3 linked regions of the Arabidopsis thaliana genome follow. The protein of the gene in region 2 interacts with the protein of the main gene of each other region in a pairwise test. Each region holds a gene or a part of one and is shown on either strand. Other genes may lie near its edges.

Region 1 (5,160 bases), about 16 Mb from region 2:
CTATACTATTCACGACAAGAAGATTTACATCATTCCTGAAATTATCAATCAAACGAATAGCTAAAAATGTAAAAATTGTATTGGGTTTTTGGAGTGGACTATTCAGGAATTTCATCTCATAATGGGTTTTTATATAAGATAAATAGTTACAACCCATTTTTAAGAGGCCCAAGGGACGTTTATTTTAAAAAGCTACTGATCCCTTTACAAATTTACGAACAAATAAAGCATATCTTCGAAATTACCAATCTGTATCACACAAAAAAACAACAACACTGAGATATGGAAATTTTCGAGATTAATCTAACGGTGAAGTCCTTATGTGAAATTACGAAACTGCCTTATTCATGTTCATCTTCATCTTTCTGAAGTACCCCTTTTGCTCCCAGAACAATGTCCGCCGTCGTGCTCCGACCAAAACATGTAGTCTAAGTCTAATACTAGTTTGTATCATTATCTGTTACAACAAACATATCTGTGTACGGTAAAGGGCTTATCTTTGTGAAATGGATCTTTATTTGGGCTTTACCTTGTGACACAATAATATGTAGCCTTGGTTTGTGATATAAATTATTTTTTAAAGTTGGGATGTCAGCTGGGTTTCTCCATCTTCTGTAATGAATGTAGTTGATTCAAGTTCCGAGAAATTTATGAAGAAGCAAAAAAAAGAAAGCAAAAAAAAAACATTTAAGTACGAGATAGATTGATATACACTCATTCAAAAGAGAAAAAGTTATTTATACAGCAAGATAGTAGTAGTAATACAATCTGCCTTTCTAGTTTGTTAACTAAAAAGAAGAACAATAGAAAACATATAATTTTACATATATAACTCACCAATATTAAAATCAATATATATGGTAATTTATTTTCTAAACAATTTTTGTTTTATTTCATAAGAGTCTGTTTTCGTTTAATTTAATAAGAGGCTTAGACTTTTGTATTTATATATTAATTATTACATGCATTGAAATTTTGCAGAATCTTACACTCTAAAAGTATGATATATATTTTTATTTTTCAATAAGTGTTAAAATGCTAAACAACACCACAGATGTTCGTGTTATCGATTTGTCTCCAAAACTTCCTGTTATCTATAAAGTTGGCTCACAAAATCATACACCTATGCATCAAGAACGTACCACAGGTACGAAATGCCATAAATTATAAACTTTTGACGCTTACATTGGAAACAAGACAGAAAACAATACTATTATTCAACTCACAAAACCTTAACTAGATGTCTGAAAGCTAAAACATGTTGCATTGATCAGTGACAAGAGACTATTTCATTTAGTAATGATAAATTGATAAACTATGCTTATTCTTTAGTCTTTACAACCAAGTTGTCTGACTTTTAAATTGTTAATTAACCATCCCAAACATTATCGAAACCCGGAAAGATAAAAACATTTAAAAAAAATGCTCTCATAGTTTCATGATACTAAATTCAACTCCCTCGATAATATTTTTTCCCGTCATATTAATAAACATATGATATATATTTAAAAATCAACATCATCATCATCTAAGAATCTGTGCATTTCCAAGCATCTGGTGATGATCAGACCGCATAATGCCACACCCTTTTCCTCCATATCCTCCACCAACAGTACCCGCAAGTGCTCCTCCGGCCACCGCCGTCATTCCTCCGCCGTTAACCACCGCATGTTCCTCCAGCGACTGCACTTGCTTCTTGAGAAACTTAACGTAATGGATAGCCTCATCGAGCATCGACGCCGTATCCATCTTAGTCCCACCGGGAACAAGCCGCTGAAGAATCCGAATCCGCTCGCTTATCCTCTCCCTTCGATGCCGAGCTGCCACGCTCTGTGGATCCTTAGAGATCCTCACGTTCTTTCTCTTTGGTGGCTTTACGGATTCCGGATCAATATGTATAGGCTGCATCACGGCTATTCGAAAGATCATCTCTCTCATCGCCGCCATGTTGGCGTTGTCGCTGCAGCCTCCTCTCTTCTCCGGGAGAGATGATGACGGGGAGGGGGCGTACCGGAAATTTAAACCGGGTTGGTGGTGAGGCATGGTTTGGTCAAATGGGAGATGAGAATGAGTGGGGTTGAAGAAGAACGGGTGGGTGTTGGATTCAGAAAGCATCATAATGTTATGGGGATTAGGGTTAGGGTTTGAGTTAGAGAAGTGTTCAGGAAGCTTCTCCATCTGCTGCATCATCATGTTCATTAGAATGTCGGAGTTATCCATCCTCCTTTTTTGTGGAATTTATAGGGTTTGTTTTTTCTTTGAGAGATATGGAGAAGCTGGTGAGATAAGGTATGGAGGAAGAAGAAGATGGACTGACAAAGCTTGAAATTTAGGGCTTTGTGTGTCTGAATCACAGAAGAGATGATGGTGGAAGACAGAGGGAGAGTTATGTGCGAAATGTAAACTGTTACTACCAATCAGAGATTCAGCAATATAAAAGGAAGTGATGGATTTATATAGCACTTTGTGACCCATTCTTATTATTTTACTCCTTTTTATTACATATATAATTTATAACAATTAGGATTGTTTTCCTTCTTCTATTTTTCACACTCCTAAAACTTTGTAACACACACGTATATGTATTTAGTAAATATATGTATGTATACATTAACGTACACTAGCTAGCAGTTGAAAATTTGTTCATTGCTTTGACATGGATGTTTCAACCTTCCATATGCATTGGACAGTTATATTTATGTTGCACGTATTTTTTTTAACTATAAATAAAATTATACTATTTATTTTATGACAAAAAATATAAATTTATTTACTTTAAACTTTCAATACCAGTTTTGCATAAATTAGTTGGTGTACTTATATATACTTTTGTCTGGAATCATTGCAACTCGCAAGAGATTGGAATCACTAGTCACTTGGTGTCACTAAAATTAGCTGATGAATGGAAAATTCGTTTTGAGTCATATTTCATGAAGGATATTATCCTTTGTCTGGATCAACCGTTCACGTGTCACAATCGGTGGGATTTTGGACCCACGAGTTGTGAACTAAGGCGCTTCTGGACAAATGAAGGTGCATGAACCGCTCTCACCATTTGAGGCAGCAACCATGAATTTTCCTATTTCTACAATTTTAATTTGTTTTCAAAATATAAAAATAAATCTTTTATATAAGTTCGAATGAGTGTAATGGGAAAGACTGAAAGAGAGAGTAGTTGTGTAGTTTTTTTTTTTTGGTATCTAAATTTTATACTACTGTTTTTTTTTGTTTATAATTGTTAATTACCCCACATCCACATGAAATATGTCAGAATCCAGGGAACCCATCTGTTTCGCCGGGATCTGTTCAGGCGACGGCGAAACAATATTACCTTGAATTCAAGTTTTCTTATTTTAACTTTTAACCTGGATGGATCCAATATGTTATGCATGAGAATATTAATGAGATGCACTGTCTTCGTTAGTAAGTAGTAAATAAGATTGATGTTATAACTTCTTTGAACATGCTTGAAGAAAACGTACTACGTTATTATTTTTTTGCATGATTTTTTTGTTTTTGTTTAAATGAGTAATATAGTGAATTTCTCGAGTTTCACAAATACAAACCATCATGTTAACGTATTTAGTTTATATGAATTTGTTTTGCAATGTATATACTAAGGGAGTGTATATTATGGAAGAATATTATCTTATATATAATGGACTCAATATAATCGAACCTCACTTGGCGTCGAGCGTTGGTATATGGCACGCTTATCAAAGCCGATCGGAAAGGACTTATTGCGATCTTCATTAAATTATTTTTCTCTTTATTTTAAGAACTTTACGTGAACATAGAGTAGTACTGTTTATTGACAAAAAACAAATAAAGAACAAAAGAAAGAAATTCTTATAACATTAGTTAACAAAGGAATTGCACTTCAACAACCAAATTAATAATAAATGACTCTTTCCTTAAAAATGCATACGTCAAACGTCAAAAACCTCACAATCTTCAATCAAGATCAATGCTTGGCTTCATTTGTGCAAAATCATCGGGTTTTTTCTTTTCATTCATAGAAATCATCTCTTTTGACGTCACAAAAGTAATTGCTTACTTGTTAATTAAAATTATTATGAGTTCGTCTTCTACCCTATAATTAGCCTAAAATAGACAGACACAGTAAGTTGCTTTGGACTTGGTTTTACCCTCTTATGTTGACACTGAAACATGTAAGAAAGCTAACGAAACGATGACGTTTCGCTGCTCTCTCTTTTTCAATCAGCTTCGTAAGTAACAAAAATAGATGCTATTTTCCCCTTTTCACCTTTTTACTTACACAAAGTCACTGTAAGAATTAAACACTCCTCCTTCCCACCGAATCTAAATTTCTTAACCAAGATTCCAAGTCTTGTTCGTACAATTTTTTTTTTTGTCTCTCGAGAACTTCCTTTTTCGATTTTTTTTCTTTAATTATTGAACTGTTTAATCAAAGTCGCCCATGTCATTCACTACGTTATTGATTGAACAAATGCCGTTAAAATCGACAGCAAATTTAAAAATGTACTAATAAAGAATAAGAACTCAGAATGGAAAACATTAGCTAAGATTGTTTACTGAAATTTGCGATGCAACTCTAAAACGCCAATGACGATTTGTTTAGTTGGAAGAATCTTTTTGTAAAAAAGTTTGAAAAATCTTTATGTATTTAACATATCTTGATCAGATAGTACTCTCATCAATTCACCGAATAAAAAATGCAAAGATCATATATGATGTAATTTTATATGAAACTCACCACAAACAAACTTATAAATTAAATAGACTTCCATAAAATCTAGAGTTTAGTAGTGATTGGACTACTGACTTTTTTCGTCGGATGTATTTATTAAAAAAAAAAAAGTTGTCATCGTAGTATTTGGTTGAGGATGGGCAGTGTATTAAAATAACAAACACTGGGATATTGGAAGCATATATCAAAAAATTCTAAAAGGAATTATATTTTAATAATTAAATAAACAAAAATTGGGGTAGGTTGCCTCCCAAGGCAAGGTAGTGATACAGCTGTGTTCATGTCCCAAGCATCATCTATGCCCTTTGCTCCATATTAACACCACAATTTCTATCCCCTAATGATTAATCACGTTTTCCGACAAATTTTTAAACTACTCCTTAATTAAAATATTCATAATTGAAAAAATGAAAAATATATATCGATTT
Region 2 (7,198 bases):
AAGATCATACCTTTTAGACTTGTCTCTGTCCCTACCTGAGATATGCATCGGGGAAGAACCTGCGATTGGAGTGTAGAGAATCTCAACAGAACCATCTTCTCTTGGCCTAGAATCCATAGTCTTACCATGAAAACGAGTGTTCCCTTTAACTATCTCCTTAGTCAATCCAAGTAATCTCACTGCCCTTTCCGCCTCAGTTAAAGGCGCCTCACCCCGATCAGCTGGATGGTACATCAGAAGATTCTTCGCCGTATATTTCCATCCTTCTAAAGTACTCGGTGGCTGATCAGATGTACCATACCCATCTGTAATCCTATCTCTCTTCACATCCTCAATAGATTTACCATCCTCCTTTTCACCTTCAAGGAGAAAGCCATACTTCTCCTTCTTCTTCCTATTTACCTTCTCAAGAATCTTCGAAAAGCTCTCGTTATCCTCACTAGTATATCTCCTAAAGAACTCATCTAGGGACAAATTAAGATCTATATCTTCATCTCCATCACCAGCATCTACTTCAACACCATGAAATTCTCTACCAGATACTCCAGGAGTTCTAGGGGTTTTACCATCAAATTCATCTAAAGGAGTGAAATTTCTCAGAAAAGTAGATCCAGGAGTTTGAGTTTTACCCTCGGTATCTCCAACATGATGATTCGCCTTCTTTCCACGCCTCTCGATAATCTTCAACTGGGCATCTCGGATTTGAATCGGGTCACGGGTTTTCACCGCTTGGATCCAATCGAGCCGATCCCTAAGCTTAGTTATATCTGGAAAGTAATCACGCTCGATGATCTTCTCGATTGCTTCAACATAAGCGTCCTCATCGAGAACTCTCATCCGTTTTCTAGGGTTTCGAGGAATGATCTCCGAGGAAGAACTGCGAGGCGTTGATCGGAGGGTATCATCGGAATAAGAAGACGGCGATGGAGAAGAAATCTGACGAGGAGAATGACCAGGTGAAAGAAACATCTTGAATCAGAAGAACGCGAATTCAAAAAGCACGAATGGAATTTGGAGCCGATGAATTTTGTCGAGAATTCGGACACTAGGGTTTGTTTTTGGGTAGACAGGAAAACAAAACGATGGTCGATGATTGCATCGGCGATGATATAATATTCCTTATCAATCCGATTATACGCGTTTTGTTTCCAGAATATTACATTATTTCCCCAAACGTTTTGATTCCTTTTGCTTTATACCCCGTAAGAAATCAAATCGTTATTATAACCCAAACATGAGGACGTTATTGCAAATAACTACTCTGTAATATCCATTTGGGCAAAATATTTTCTTTTTAAAGTCGGTGGCGATGTTCTTTGGCTCTCATGTTGGCTCAAATATAAACTATTTAAGGTAACATGGATCTCCCTCCATTAGCGAAATCCACAATTCTCTAAATCCGAGTGAATAAGTATCGAGATTTTGGCAACACTCTGTGTCAAAGCTTGCATAACATTATGGCCCAACATAGACGATCATGTGCAAAATTTGAATACAAAGACCACAATACTTCACACACAAATCCAACCTTAATTGATTCGGATTTTTTTTTTAATACAAACAAAGAGAGACAATACAAACATCTAAGGATTGGATCTGAAAGGATTTCGCTGGTTTGATCTTGGATCTACCCTTGGCGACGATGCATTGTATCCATGCAGCATTTCTCTGATCTTTGAGTACATCACTGCTTGTGACGCTTCACCACCATTCCCACCACTTTCCTGCTCTTTTATCTTTTCAAACAGATACTCTTTCTCTGCCTCCGCCTCGCTCAGCCTCAGTTTCAAATAGTTACTTGCGTATTCCTCTTCTGTTTTCTCCTTTTTCGCTTTCACAATCCTTTCCAATCTCTCTGCTTCCACTTTTGCCTCGTTTGCTTTTAACTGAAACATCTCTGCCTCTGCTTGCTTCAGCCTCACTATCCTCTCCACCTCTTCTATCTGTTGTTTCTTCTTCTGCCTCTCCATCTGCAGTTCCGCCACTTGCTTTGCTTTCTCTTCTACCTCTCTCTCGCATTCCTCAAGCCCCATTCGCGCTTTCTTGTACATCCTCGTCTTTTCCTCACCCACTATCTCCATTTTCCTCAGTGTTTCCTTTACAACTTCAGCAATTCGGTTGCATGCATCTTGAGGTGCTATCGTACCCCCACCTTCTCCGCTTTCAAGGCTCTTTGGAGAGTCCAATTCAATTTCTTCATACACAAAACATGGTTAGGTCTATAAAGAGTAAACCCTTATCATATAACAATAGCGAGTGGGCTTACCTTGGAAAAACATGAGTATCAACTTGGCCGCTGTTGCTTCAGCCAGTCCACCTTTAATCTTCTCCATAAGCTCCTCACACTTCCAGAAGAGTTTCCGGCCTCTTGTATCTTCGCTTCCACGGAAAATCCTACTAACGAAGTCAAGTTCCTTCATTAAAGATTCCCTATCCCAGTTTGGTGCACAGTGCTGAAACACATCTTTCACCCACCCCAGCAATTCAGAAGTATGGTTGCACGCTCGACACTTGAACAGCATTTCTCCCATCCCAGATACGCTCTTGGGAGAAACTCCCATCGAAATCTCCCCATCCCTAATAGCACAATCCGTATGAGTCCAATGAGAACACACGTCGCAGCCAATCCAGCGGCATGTGTTGACTGCAAAGTCAAACTTGTTACATATCACACACATGCACAGGTTGCAGAAGCCTTTCCTATTAGCGCATATCTCACAGGGACAACCATCAGCCGGGAGTTCGTTTTGGCAAGCTATGTTTCTGCATCTCTTGTACACAAAGATCTCGATGAGTGATGACTGAGAGAGATTGATGTTTGGGTGCAAGAATGCTTGGATACCAGTGTTTATAACCACAAGAACTTCAAGCTGCACTCGGTGAGCCCTGACAAGTGTCTTTGAAGTTAAATCAGATCTCGTCTGGACAAACTTCTGCAGAAACATAAACTCATCTATAGGCTGCGCACCATTTCCTTCAAGGATAGCCTTAAGACCATTCTTTAACTCCTCGAGATATTCTTCTGGTAATCGATGCATTCTCTCAGCGACTATGTCAAGTCTCTCTCTAGCTATGTCCCGTAGCGATACCTTATCAGCAATGGAAACATGGCGGATCACATGTTGATCATGAGAGTCAGGCCCTGTCTTTCCGCTATCTGTCTTCCTTCCCATAATAGATTTTGAGGTTGGCCAAGTTTCTTGAGAGCTAGCACTTTCAGCTGGTGATTCACGCACAATGCCAGAATTAGACCGTGACAAGTGGGGATCTGAAGATACAAGCGAAAGAGATGTTTGTAGTTGCTGACGTGGAGGTAGCATCTGGTGAGGAAGATTGGACCCAGATGATGTGCCCATCAATTTAGTGCTGCAGACACCAAGATAATGTCAATGTCAGATTCACCCCAAGGAACACATAAATCCCTAAAATACTTTACGACCAAATCACATACTAATTCAGGAAAGCCCAAAACATTTTGCAAAATCCCTAGAAATCCACCGACAGATAAAAACTACATCTCCTATGTTCAAATTGAGCTGAGATGATTAATCACTAGTGGAAGCTCAAAAAATACAAACACATGACAGAGTAAACACAAAACAAGCGCTAGAAAAAAACAAGTTGCTCGAATCTGTTTGCCCCGTAGATTATACGCTATAAAAGTCAAACACGAATCTTCATAAAATCAGAAAATCTTGCAAGTACCAAAATACATAGTCATAAACTGAATCAACCCTCAAAACAACGCATCCAACTCGATCACGAGAGTTATTGACTCTTTTTGTCACCGAATTTTCAGGACCAGCCTCGAACTCAACAACCAAAACAGATACGTTTTGCTGTATTCGCCTCAGACATAAAGAAAGCACCAAACAGACGAGAAAGGGAAAAAGACCGCCGGAAAATTAAGGACTCACCGGAGAGACGACGGGAGAGGACGAACGAGGAACCGTGACTCCGTGAGAAACCCAAAGGAAAGATAAATTAAACACTTTTTTGCCTGTTAAGACAGAACTATAAAAAAGACATACAGCTGCCAGTTCATTAATCTCTAACGGTTAACCTGACCAGCCGGTAACCTTCGACTTTTGTTGACTTTTTTAAACGCGTTCAACGTTTGAGTCGAATCTGTCCAAACAAAGTTTTAAACCAACCCAATTCGTACGATAACAACATCCCTCTATTTAATTAAAAATTACCATATGTCCCAAAATTTTAGTTTTGTTAGATAAAACTCGAAAAATCTTTCCAAAAACACCCCAACTGAATTTTTCTTAACGGTTATTAAAATTATACCGAGGAGGATCAACACAAACTGGAACAAAAACAAGCTCAATCAATTATTAATCTCTCCAACATAAATAGAGATTATCATTCGCTCATTGCCTATTGTTCTGAGTTTTGGGGTTCTACTTTTACTGCTACTACTAATAAAAGAAGAAGAATATGATGAGAATCGTAGCAGGGACATAAAACATTAGGCTTGTGTTCATTTCTTCCCATCCACTTCGACTGGTTCAACCACTTCAGCTTCAAACGTCTCTGCATCGTGAGAATGTGCCATCTGCTGTTGCTGCGGCTGCACCTCAGGGCTTGACCATTTCCCGGAAAGAGCTACATCCATCATCTCATATATCTTCCCACCCAGCTCTGCTGGATTATCGGGCTGTAGTTTTGAGAAACAACAATTAAGTTTTACCAGTATTTACTTTATTTCAATTCTAGAGACAACAAAAAGTTAAGAATGTTAATGTAGAATAGGACTCACCGTGAACCCACTAGAAACTAGTGCTGCGTCATACATAAGATCTATGGCTCTCATTGCATCTTCGTCATTTGGGTTACTATTGTAAGCAGCCTGCAGGGTGCAAGAAAAAAACAAGCCAAGCTCAAAAAGCGGCTCCTAGATTTAATTATAATAGCCAGGTACAAGTTATGATGAATGGTGACTTCACATTTATGTTCTTGATAATTGAGTGGTCGGGATTGATCTCAAACACTCTTCTCCCTTTCATGTAGTCGAGGCTTATTGTGTCACCAGTTGATTGTGCCTTCATTAGCCTGTCCAGATAACATATTCTGTGTTAGTTCACCAGGGGCAAAAAAGGAGAACGGAAATCCTTGCTTAAGAAAAAGGTCAGATCTTACCTCTCCATATTGGCTGACCAACCAAATTTACCAGATACAAGAACACAGGGGGAAGAACTAAGACGGTTGGAAATTTGAACACTGGCAACCTTGTCACCCAATCGTTTCTTTATCCAGTCACAAGTCTGTCCAAACTCTTTTTTCACTGCTGCCTCTTTCTCCTCGTTCTTGTCTCCTGTCAATACAAAGATCAAAGCCAGAATTTGTTATTATACATAAGTGATTACCTGACATGCTAAATCAAGGAATTACATCAGGCACTTGCCTAGATCCAAGTCTTCCTTGCTGATATCTACAAAATCCTTCTCCTTATAAGCTTTTAAACTCTGTACGGCAACTTCATCAATAGGCTCTACCAAATATAGTACCTACGTTCACAATACAAAGAAATACATGTCAATCACCTCTGAGTTAATAGGAATATTTGCAAGGAAGAACAAAACGAGGCCCCATTCAGAAGAACAACACATACTTCAAGTCCTTTCTCCAGCATCTTTTCGAGGAAAGGTGCATTCTTAGCACTTGTAATGCTGTCAGAAGCAATGAAGTATATGGCTTTCTGTTCAGGTTTCATGTTCTCAACATACTCATCCAAGCTGATCATGTCATTCTCACTCTGGGAGGAGAAAAATCGAAGCAGTGGAGCTATACGCTTGTGGTTTTCACGGTCTTCGATGCACCCTAATTTCAAGTGTTTGCCAAAATTATCCCAAAACTTCTCATAGTCCTGTATAGGTTAACAATGCCATTCTCATTCGTCAGGAAAATCATCACCAGAACGTAGCAGTGATTTCTAAAGGGAATTAAAAAAGGTTAAACTGTAAGCTTAGGGGAACAAGAGTTATGAAACATACTTCTCTGTTTTCACTCAAGGATATACCCAAAATCATATCAAAAGCCTTCCTCACTAGACGTTTCTTCATGATCCGCACCTTGGAGACACAATACAAAATCGTAAGCTTAACATAGCATTGCACTTAAAACAAAACATATATCATAAAGGCTTTGCATACGAATTGGATATGAGCGCTTACTATGCGACTTTCTTGAAGAATCTCACGTGATACATTAAGTGGGAGATCATGCGAGTCCACAACACCTTTAACAAAGCTCAAGTACCGAGGAAACTGGCCACAAACACCACAAAAATGATATCAATATAATTAGAAAGACAGAGGTTTCTTGAAAGAAATTTGAACCACACCAAAAGAAACTTTTCTCACCAGCTCCCCATCAAAGTCATCTGAAATGAAAACTCGTTTAACATAGAGCCTTATGTTCTTTGTCTTTTGATTGACTATGTCATCCTTCCCCGATGGTGAAACAGGTGGCACATATAGGATAGACCTAAACTCGACTTCGCCCTGAGCATTGCCAACAAGAGAATCAAAGAGCATTATATTTCAGTGGATCGTCTAACAAAGACGATCTAATTCGGCTGTTTAATGGAAATATCCAATTCAATAAATGTGTTCCTTTGAAAATACCTCTGTCGTGAAATGGGATGAAGCCAATGGGTCCAAATACTCATTGAAAGCTTTTCTGTAAAACTCATTGTATTCTGCTGTTGTCACCTCCTTAGGGTTACGCAGCTGCAATAAATAAAATACACTGTTAAATTGATTCAGAGTGCACTCAAGATACATTGACAAGTCCTTACCCAAATCGGTTGTGTCTCATTTGTAAGCTCCCAATCCCAGTATCTCTCAACAACCTTCTTGGTCTTCTTCTTTTTCTGTTACAAGAAAAATAGTCCCCAACCCTAAGCCAACTTTTCTTACACATCTAGCTATCTTCTGATGCTGATTAAGATATTTCCAGAAGCTGATCAAGGTATTTCTTAGAACAGGTAAAGAGACGCAGGTATATATACCTCAGTTTGGTCATCTTGGTCATCTTTTTTTGTTTCAGTTGGATCATCTTCAACCTCAACCTGCAAGAGAGAGAGCCAAATATACAAAGCCAGTTAATAAGGTAAGAATATTAGTTGCATCTGACACAAAAGTACATATGTTTAAGTTCACAAATCTGCTAACTCTGGTGATCATAC
Region 3 (5,715 bases), on a different chromosome or scaffold from region 2:
CATTATTGGTTCTAGATACGTACGTACGTTAAATGGCAAAGATACTATGCGTTCCACAAACTCTAGAGATTATTCGACCCACTTTAACTCTAGAGATTATATGTGCTTTGGTTTGGATCACCCATTATACATCATTTTCTTGATATTTATAGTTCATCTTCCAAGACCACCATGTGCTTGGTTCATGTTTAGACGTTAAAGTGAAGAATATAAAGCAAAATTATTCGACACCCAACGTTACATCCAAATATGCGTTAAACATTGATATTAGAAAAATACAAAATATGACATCTAGTTGAAGTCCACATTGGATTCCACTCTCATTTTACTTTTTGTCTTTTATCTACATATTCTTCCTTACAGCTTTCTTTCAATGTTTATTTAATTAGTACAAGTAAAATAGGCATAGCATTGTGTCATAACCCTCAACTCTACAACATGCATGCATTATATATGCATATATAGTAGAATTGATCATGCATGTATTAACTGTAACTGAAGTGAGATTAAGACTTATGAAACAAAACTAATAGGACTACAAATATTAGTCTTTTTTATCATCCCATATTTCTCTGTATATAAACTCTGTAGTTATTTCTAATTTTAAGATTTATAATCATCCTTGACAAAAAAAAAAAAAAAAGAGATTTGTGATCAGAACATTTGTTGTTTAAAGAACTTGTTTGAGTTGTTGTTAAAAAAAAATAACATAATTGTTATGTCAAGATTATTTGAATTAATATTTTTTATCCGTTAAATTGTTATGTAACTTCTTGTCATGAAGTACAAAATATACTCAATTATTAATACGACAAAATAAATAGTACGTAACGTTGCAGAGTCGTAGAGATAGAATTAACATGCAATTTTTTTTTAATTTTTTTTTTATATCAACATGCAATTTAACGAACACGTTTCTTGCACCTGCTTGATAGAAAATAATAATATAAATTATTGGAACGAAATACAACCAGAGAAAAACGAGCATAATTTTATTATTTTATTTTTAGTTTTCTAAAAATCATCTTACTTTTTTTTATCTTGTTTTATGTTTCATTGTAGTTTTAATACGGGGAACGATTTTACCCCGCATGTATAGAACAAAAACAAGTTTACTTTTAAAATTAGTGAAAGACTAGTTCCAAAACCGCATTGACATGTTAGTTTTTTCTCTTACAAATATATATTTGTTATCTTATTCTAATGTTAACCAAACAAATATTGATCGGGAAGAAAAAGAGATGCTCAGAAATATTATAACACAATGAGTGATTGAGACATAGAAAAAAGGATGATCATTGAGATTTTGTAACTATGTAGATAATATAGACGTGCACGACAATAATAATACAACTCGGTCGATCGGGTCAACTACCCCATGTTATAATTTAATCGTTGACATAAGAAACTGTTTTAAATAACAACAATCCATGGTTTCTTCCCCACCCATATATAGCCATAAAACACGTTACATGAACACTCAACACGTTCTATTTTCATTTTTTATTTTGTTAATAATTTAAGAATTTTAAGCTGAAGTCCAGATTAATTTCCAAAACATAGAGAGACAATATAATTATTGCCAGCTAAGATAATCACAATTACTGAATACGATTAAAATCCAAGTTGGAAGATTTTATTTTTGTAACCAATGGACTAGTATCCAAGATAATGTTGATACATACGAGTACATTTTATGTCACTATATACAATTTCCGATATTTTTTATTTTTCAATCATTCGTTAATAAAAATTCTACAAACAAAAATAATTCATCAAAACACTAAATAAATTTTTTTTCCCTTTTTCTCAATTTTATGCCTTGCCTAATTTCTGTTCCATTCATTTTTGAAACAATTTCAATAGTGGAACATGATAACAAAAGTCGACACGTGACAAGAACTTAATAGCTGGCTGGAGATTTTAATAGGCTCATAAAATCATAAAAACATAGTCAACACTTGTATCCACAGATCCACCGTTGGATTGACCTTTCGAAAATCCAGTGGTTCATATAAGAGTTAATGGGACCACCCGGTTACCGAGGTCGTCAAATAGCTTTATGTTCAAAGAAATAATCGTAAATTCGTTATTTTTTATTTTCTTACAATAATTTAGTAGCACTACTACTTTAACATTTTAAATAGTCAGCTTTTCACCTTCCTTTGTCGTATTGATGAATCGCTGTTCTAGTGGACTTTTAAAATCATTAGTCAAACCATTACTGCTATTTTAATTATAATGACTATTATTATTTGTTGTTTTCACAATATGTGTAGAATACTTAGGTGAATTTGAGGTTAATAAAGTTTCCAAGTGAAGACTGTTTCTAAAATGAAAACTTCTTGTTGTAAATAAGTAAACAGTCAAATTTTATCAATAGAAAAAGACAAAAAAGAAGTAAAAGTCCGGCGCCAAATATTTATTGGTTATGGAAACCCCTTAACTTAGTCTTGAATTAGTTAATCGTAAATCTAGTTGACAAATATTAAAGTCCGTAGAATTTGAAAGAATACAGAAGATTCAAATTGGGACAAACATAATATATAATTAAAGCTTTATAAAAGTCAAATGTATCCATTATTATTATTTTGGGATTAATCAATCATCTCTGTCTCTCGTTGACAACTCTTCCTTCTCTTGCCTCAACCAAATTCCAGCTGGCCCTCTTTCTCCATTGTGTGTGAATGAATCATTGACATTATTTTTACTTACTTTGGTCATGCAAACTTCTTTCTACACCTTTTGCTTAAGCTAAGTTGAATGATTTTTGTTAAGAGTGTTGTTATTTAGAGAAAATTCTGTCCATCCATTATCTTTTTGGGTTGAAAAATATCTTGAATTTGAAGTAACGATAAAATTCGGATGCCAGGGGTGGGTCCCAGTAACCTCGAACTTTGAGGAGACCAAACTGTTGATTGCTTTATTCCGTGGAAATCCTCAACTCAATCACAGCCGTTGGATCAAAACCTCCTTCCCGGTTTGACTAAAAAATCACCAAAAATCTGACCCGGTCACCTCCTCTTTTCCCCATATATCACGCATCCTTCTTCTTCTCTCTTCTCCATCACAACCATTTCTCTCTCTCGTCTTCGTCTTCTTCTTCTTCAACGTTCCTCTCCAAAATCCTCAGACCAAGAAATCATCATGGCCGTCGATCTAATGCGTTTCCCTAAGATAGATGATCAAACGGCTATTCAGGAAGCTGCATCGCAAGGTTTACAAAGTATGGAACATCTGATCCGTGTCCTCTCTAACCGTCCCGAACAACAACACAACGTTGACTGCTCCGAGATCACTGACTTCACCGTTTCTAAATTCAAAACCGTCATTTCTCTCCTTAACCGTACTGGTCACGCTCGGTTCAGACGCGGACCGGTTCACTCCACTTCCTCTGCCGCATCTCAGAAACTACAGAGTCAGATCGTTAAAAATACTCAACCTGAGGCTCCGATAGTGAGAACAACTACGAATCACCCTCAAATCGTTCCTCCACCGTCTAGTGTAACACTCGATTTCTCTAAACCAAGCATCTTCGGCACCAAAGCTAAGAGCGCCGAGCTGGAATTCTCCAAAGAAAACTTCAGTGTTTCTTTAAACTCCTCATTCATGTCGTCGGCGATAACCGGAGACGGCAGCGTCTCCAATGGAAAAATCTTCCTTGCTTCTGCTCCGTTGCAGCCTGTTAACTCTTCCGGAAAACCACCGTTGGCTGGTCATCCTTACAGAAAGAGATGTCTCGAGCATGAGCACTCAGAGAGTTTCTCCGGAAAAGTCTCCGGCTCCGCCTACGGAAAGTGCCATTGCAAGAAAAGGTATTGTTACGTCACCCACCTGTCGCTCTAACAACTACTCAGTGACTTCAGTTATTTAATTTCAAAAGTTTCAACCCATAGTTGACTATTACCCTCGCTATATCAATAATTAAAAAATAGTCTAATAATTCAATTAGGTGAACCCGGTTTAGTAATACTGTCCCGGTTATCGGTCTAGTTGCTTTAAATGTCGGGCATGTTTTGGTATTGCGCGCCGACAATGACTAGAACCGGTTGAGCTCAATGAATAACTCAAGTTTTGACCGTTGACTTTTGGAACCCAATGTTTTTTCCGTTAATTAATATTTTCTATTTGATTTTTAATGAAGCAGGAAAAATCGGATGAAGAGAACCGTGAGAGTACCGGCGATAAGTGCAAAGATCGCCGATATTCCACCGGACGAATATTCGTGGAGGAAGTACGGACAAAAACCGATCAAGGGCTCACCACACCCACGGTAAATATCCTACACCCGTCTAATATCCACCGTTGGTATTTAATTTAATCGCGATCTAACGGTGTTTATTTGTTTTTTGCGATCCAGTGGTTACTACAAGTGCAGTACATTCAGAGGATGTCCAGCGAGGAAACACGTGGAACGAGCATTAGATGATCCAGCGATGCTTATTGTGACATACGAAGGAGAGCACCGTCATAACCAATCCGCGATGCAGGAGAATATTTCTTCTTCAGGCATTAATGATTTAGTGTTTGCCTCGGCTTGACTTTTTTTTGTACTATTTGTTTTTTGATTTTTTGAGTACTTTAGATGGATTGAAATTTGTAAATTTTTTTATTAAGAAATCAATTTAAATAGAGAAAAATTAGTGGTGGTGCAATGTTTTATACTATTGTTGTTGATGATTAGTAGATATGGGTATTAGGTAGAACCGTAGAGGTTATGAAATTAATTGCGCACCAAATGATATAGACTTATGTTCGTCATTTACTTTTCATTATTCATTGTTTTTTTCCTTAATTAATATAAATGACTTGGTGGCCGTTGGATTGCTCGCGAAAGTAAAGTTGACTAAATTGATGAATGATTAAAAGTCAATGAGTACTTAATGAGTTGGTTGGGTTTTGGTGTCGAATAATGCATTTGAGTTTGTCTATATAAATGTGAAATCCGAAAGACAAGTTAAGGGTCAACTGAATTTATTTATGCCGTCTGAATAGTACATTGACATTTATTATCTATATCTTGTGTCAAAGTTGTCATTTGTTATTGCCGACCTATGTTTTAAAATGAAATACCAAGTGTTTGACCATTTCCTATGTTTATATTTCGATATCGATTGGTAGTAAGACAAACAGTTTGGCACGATGTATACAAAATTAGAGATGTACAAGTACTTGCTATGTTAAAAGGGAACGGAAGTTACGAAACACTCGTATATTTTTAGAGGGACAAAGTTTCAGTTTCTAGTTAGGAAGGAAGATTTGAAGACCATTACTACTTGTCCCACCAACCAAAAAATAGTATACAAAGACGACCACACTTAAATCATCTGGTACAAAACTCCTCACTTGAAATTCTCAGACACATATTGGTTCGTGGAATTCGTTTGTATCTACTCCTTTTTATGTGAGAGGATCGGAACAAATATTGCATTGGTCACAAACACTATAACGTTTCTTAGTAAGAAAACGCAACGTCATTTCAGCTGCATTCATGCAAGAGTATAAATGTGAAAAAACAATCCAAGATTTTTTTTCAGTCTATAAAGTATAAACACACACGTATCACAAAAATACATCACCAAACACATACACAGCACTTTTTTAAAAATGGCCAAGGCTTAAGATGTATCCTTCTTCCTTACAATAACACTGCTCTTAGCCATACGTTGAAGAGAAGCGACAAATTAAAAGTCAGCCCATACATGGCATACGTCT

What was found.
Region 1: the proteins of OBE1 (region 2) and HEC2 interact in a two-hybrid assay, tested with the Arabidopsis thaliana proteins (one large-scale study listed by BioGRID).
Region 3: the proteins of OBE1 (region 2) and WRKY11 interact in a two-hybrid assay, tested with the Arabidopsis thaliana proteins (one large-scale study listed by BioGRID).

Annotation. Positions count from the first base shown.
Region 1 is NC_003074.8:18,655,899-18,661,058, forward strand, and holds HEC2 (basic helix-loop-helix (bHLH) DNA-binding superfamily protein), read right to left. Parts: upstream 2,480-5,160; 5' UTR 2,221-2,479; coding exon 1,525-2,220; 3' UTR 1,057-1,524; downstream 1-1,056.
Region 2 is NC_003074.8:2,481,262-2,488,459, reverse strand, and holds OBE1 (potyvirus VPg interacting protein (DUF1423)), read right to left. Parts: upstream 4,007-7,198; 5' UTR 3,475-4,006; coding exon 3,452-3,474; intron 3,367-3,451; coding exon 2,267-3,366; intron 2,195-2,266; coding exon 1,584-2,194; 3' UTR 1,334-1,583; downstream 1-1,333. Other genes in the region: AT3G07790 (DGCR14-like protein), read right to left, coding at 1-969; Hsp89.1 (HEAT SHOCK PROTEIN 89.1), read right to left, coding at 4,490-4,666, 4,769-4,858, 4,956-5,061, 5,149-5,323, 5,414-5,516, 5,621-5,875, 6,003-6,080, 6,183-6,275 and 4 more. UniProt on the Arabidopsis thaliana protein: Probable transcription factor that acts together with OBE2 for the maintenance and/or establishment of both the shoot and root meristems, probably by controlling the expression of the meristem genes such as WUS, PLT1 and PLT2 and of genes required for auxin responses.
Region 3 is NC_003075.7:15,288,891-15,294,605, reverse strand, and holds WRKY11 (WRKY DNA-binding protein 11), read left to right. Parts: upstream 1-3,066; 5' UTR 3,067-3,147; coding exon 3,148-3,815; intron 3,816-4,144; coding exon 4,145-4,273; coding exon of another isoform or gene 4,274-4,277; exon of another isoform or gene 4,278-4,360; coding exon 4,361-4,541; 3' UTR 4,542-4,659; downstream 4,660-5,715. UniProt on the Arabidopsis thaliana protein: Transcription factor. Interacts specifically with the W box (5'-(T)TGAC[CT]-3'), a frequently occurring elicitor-responsive cis-acting element.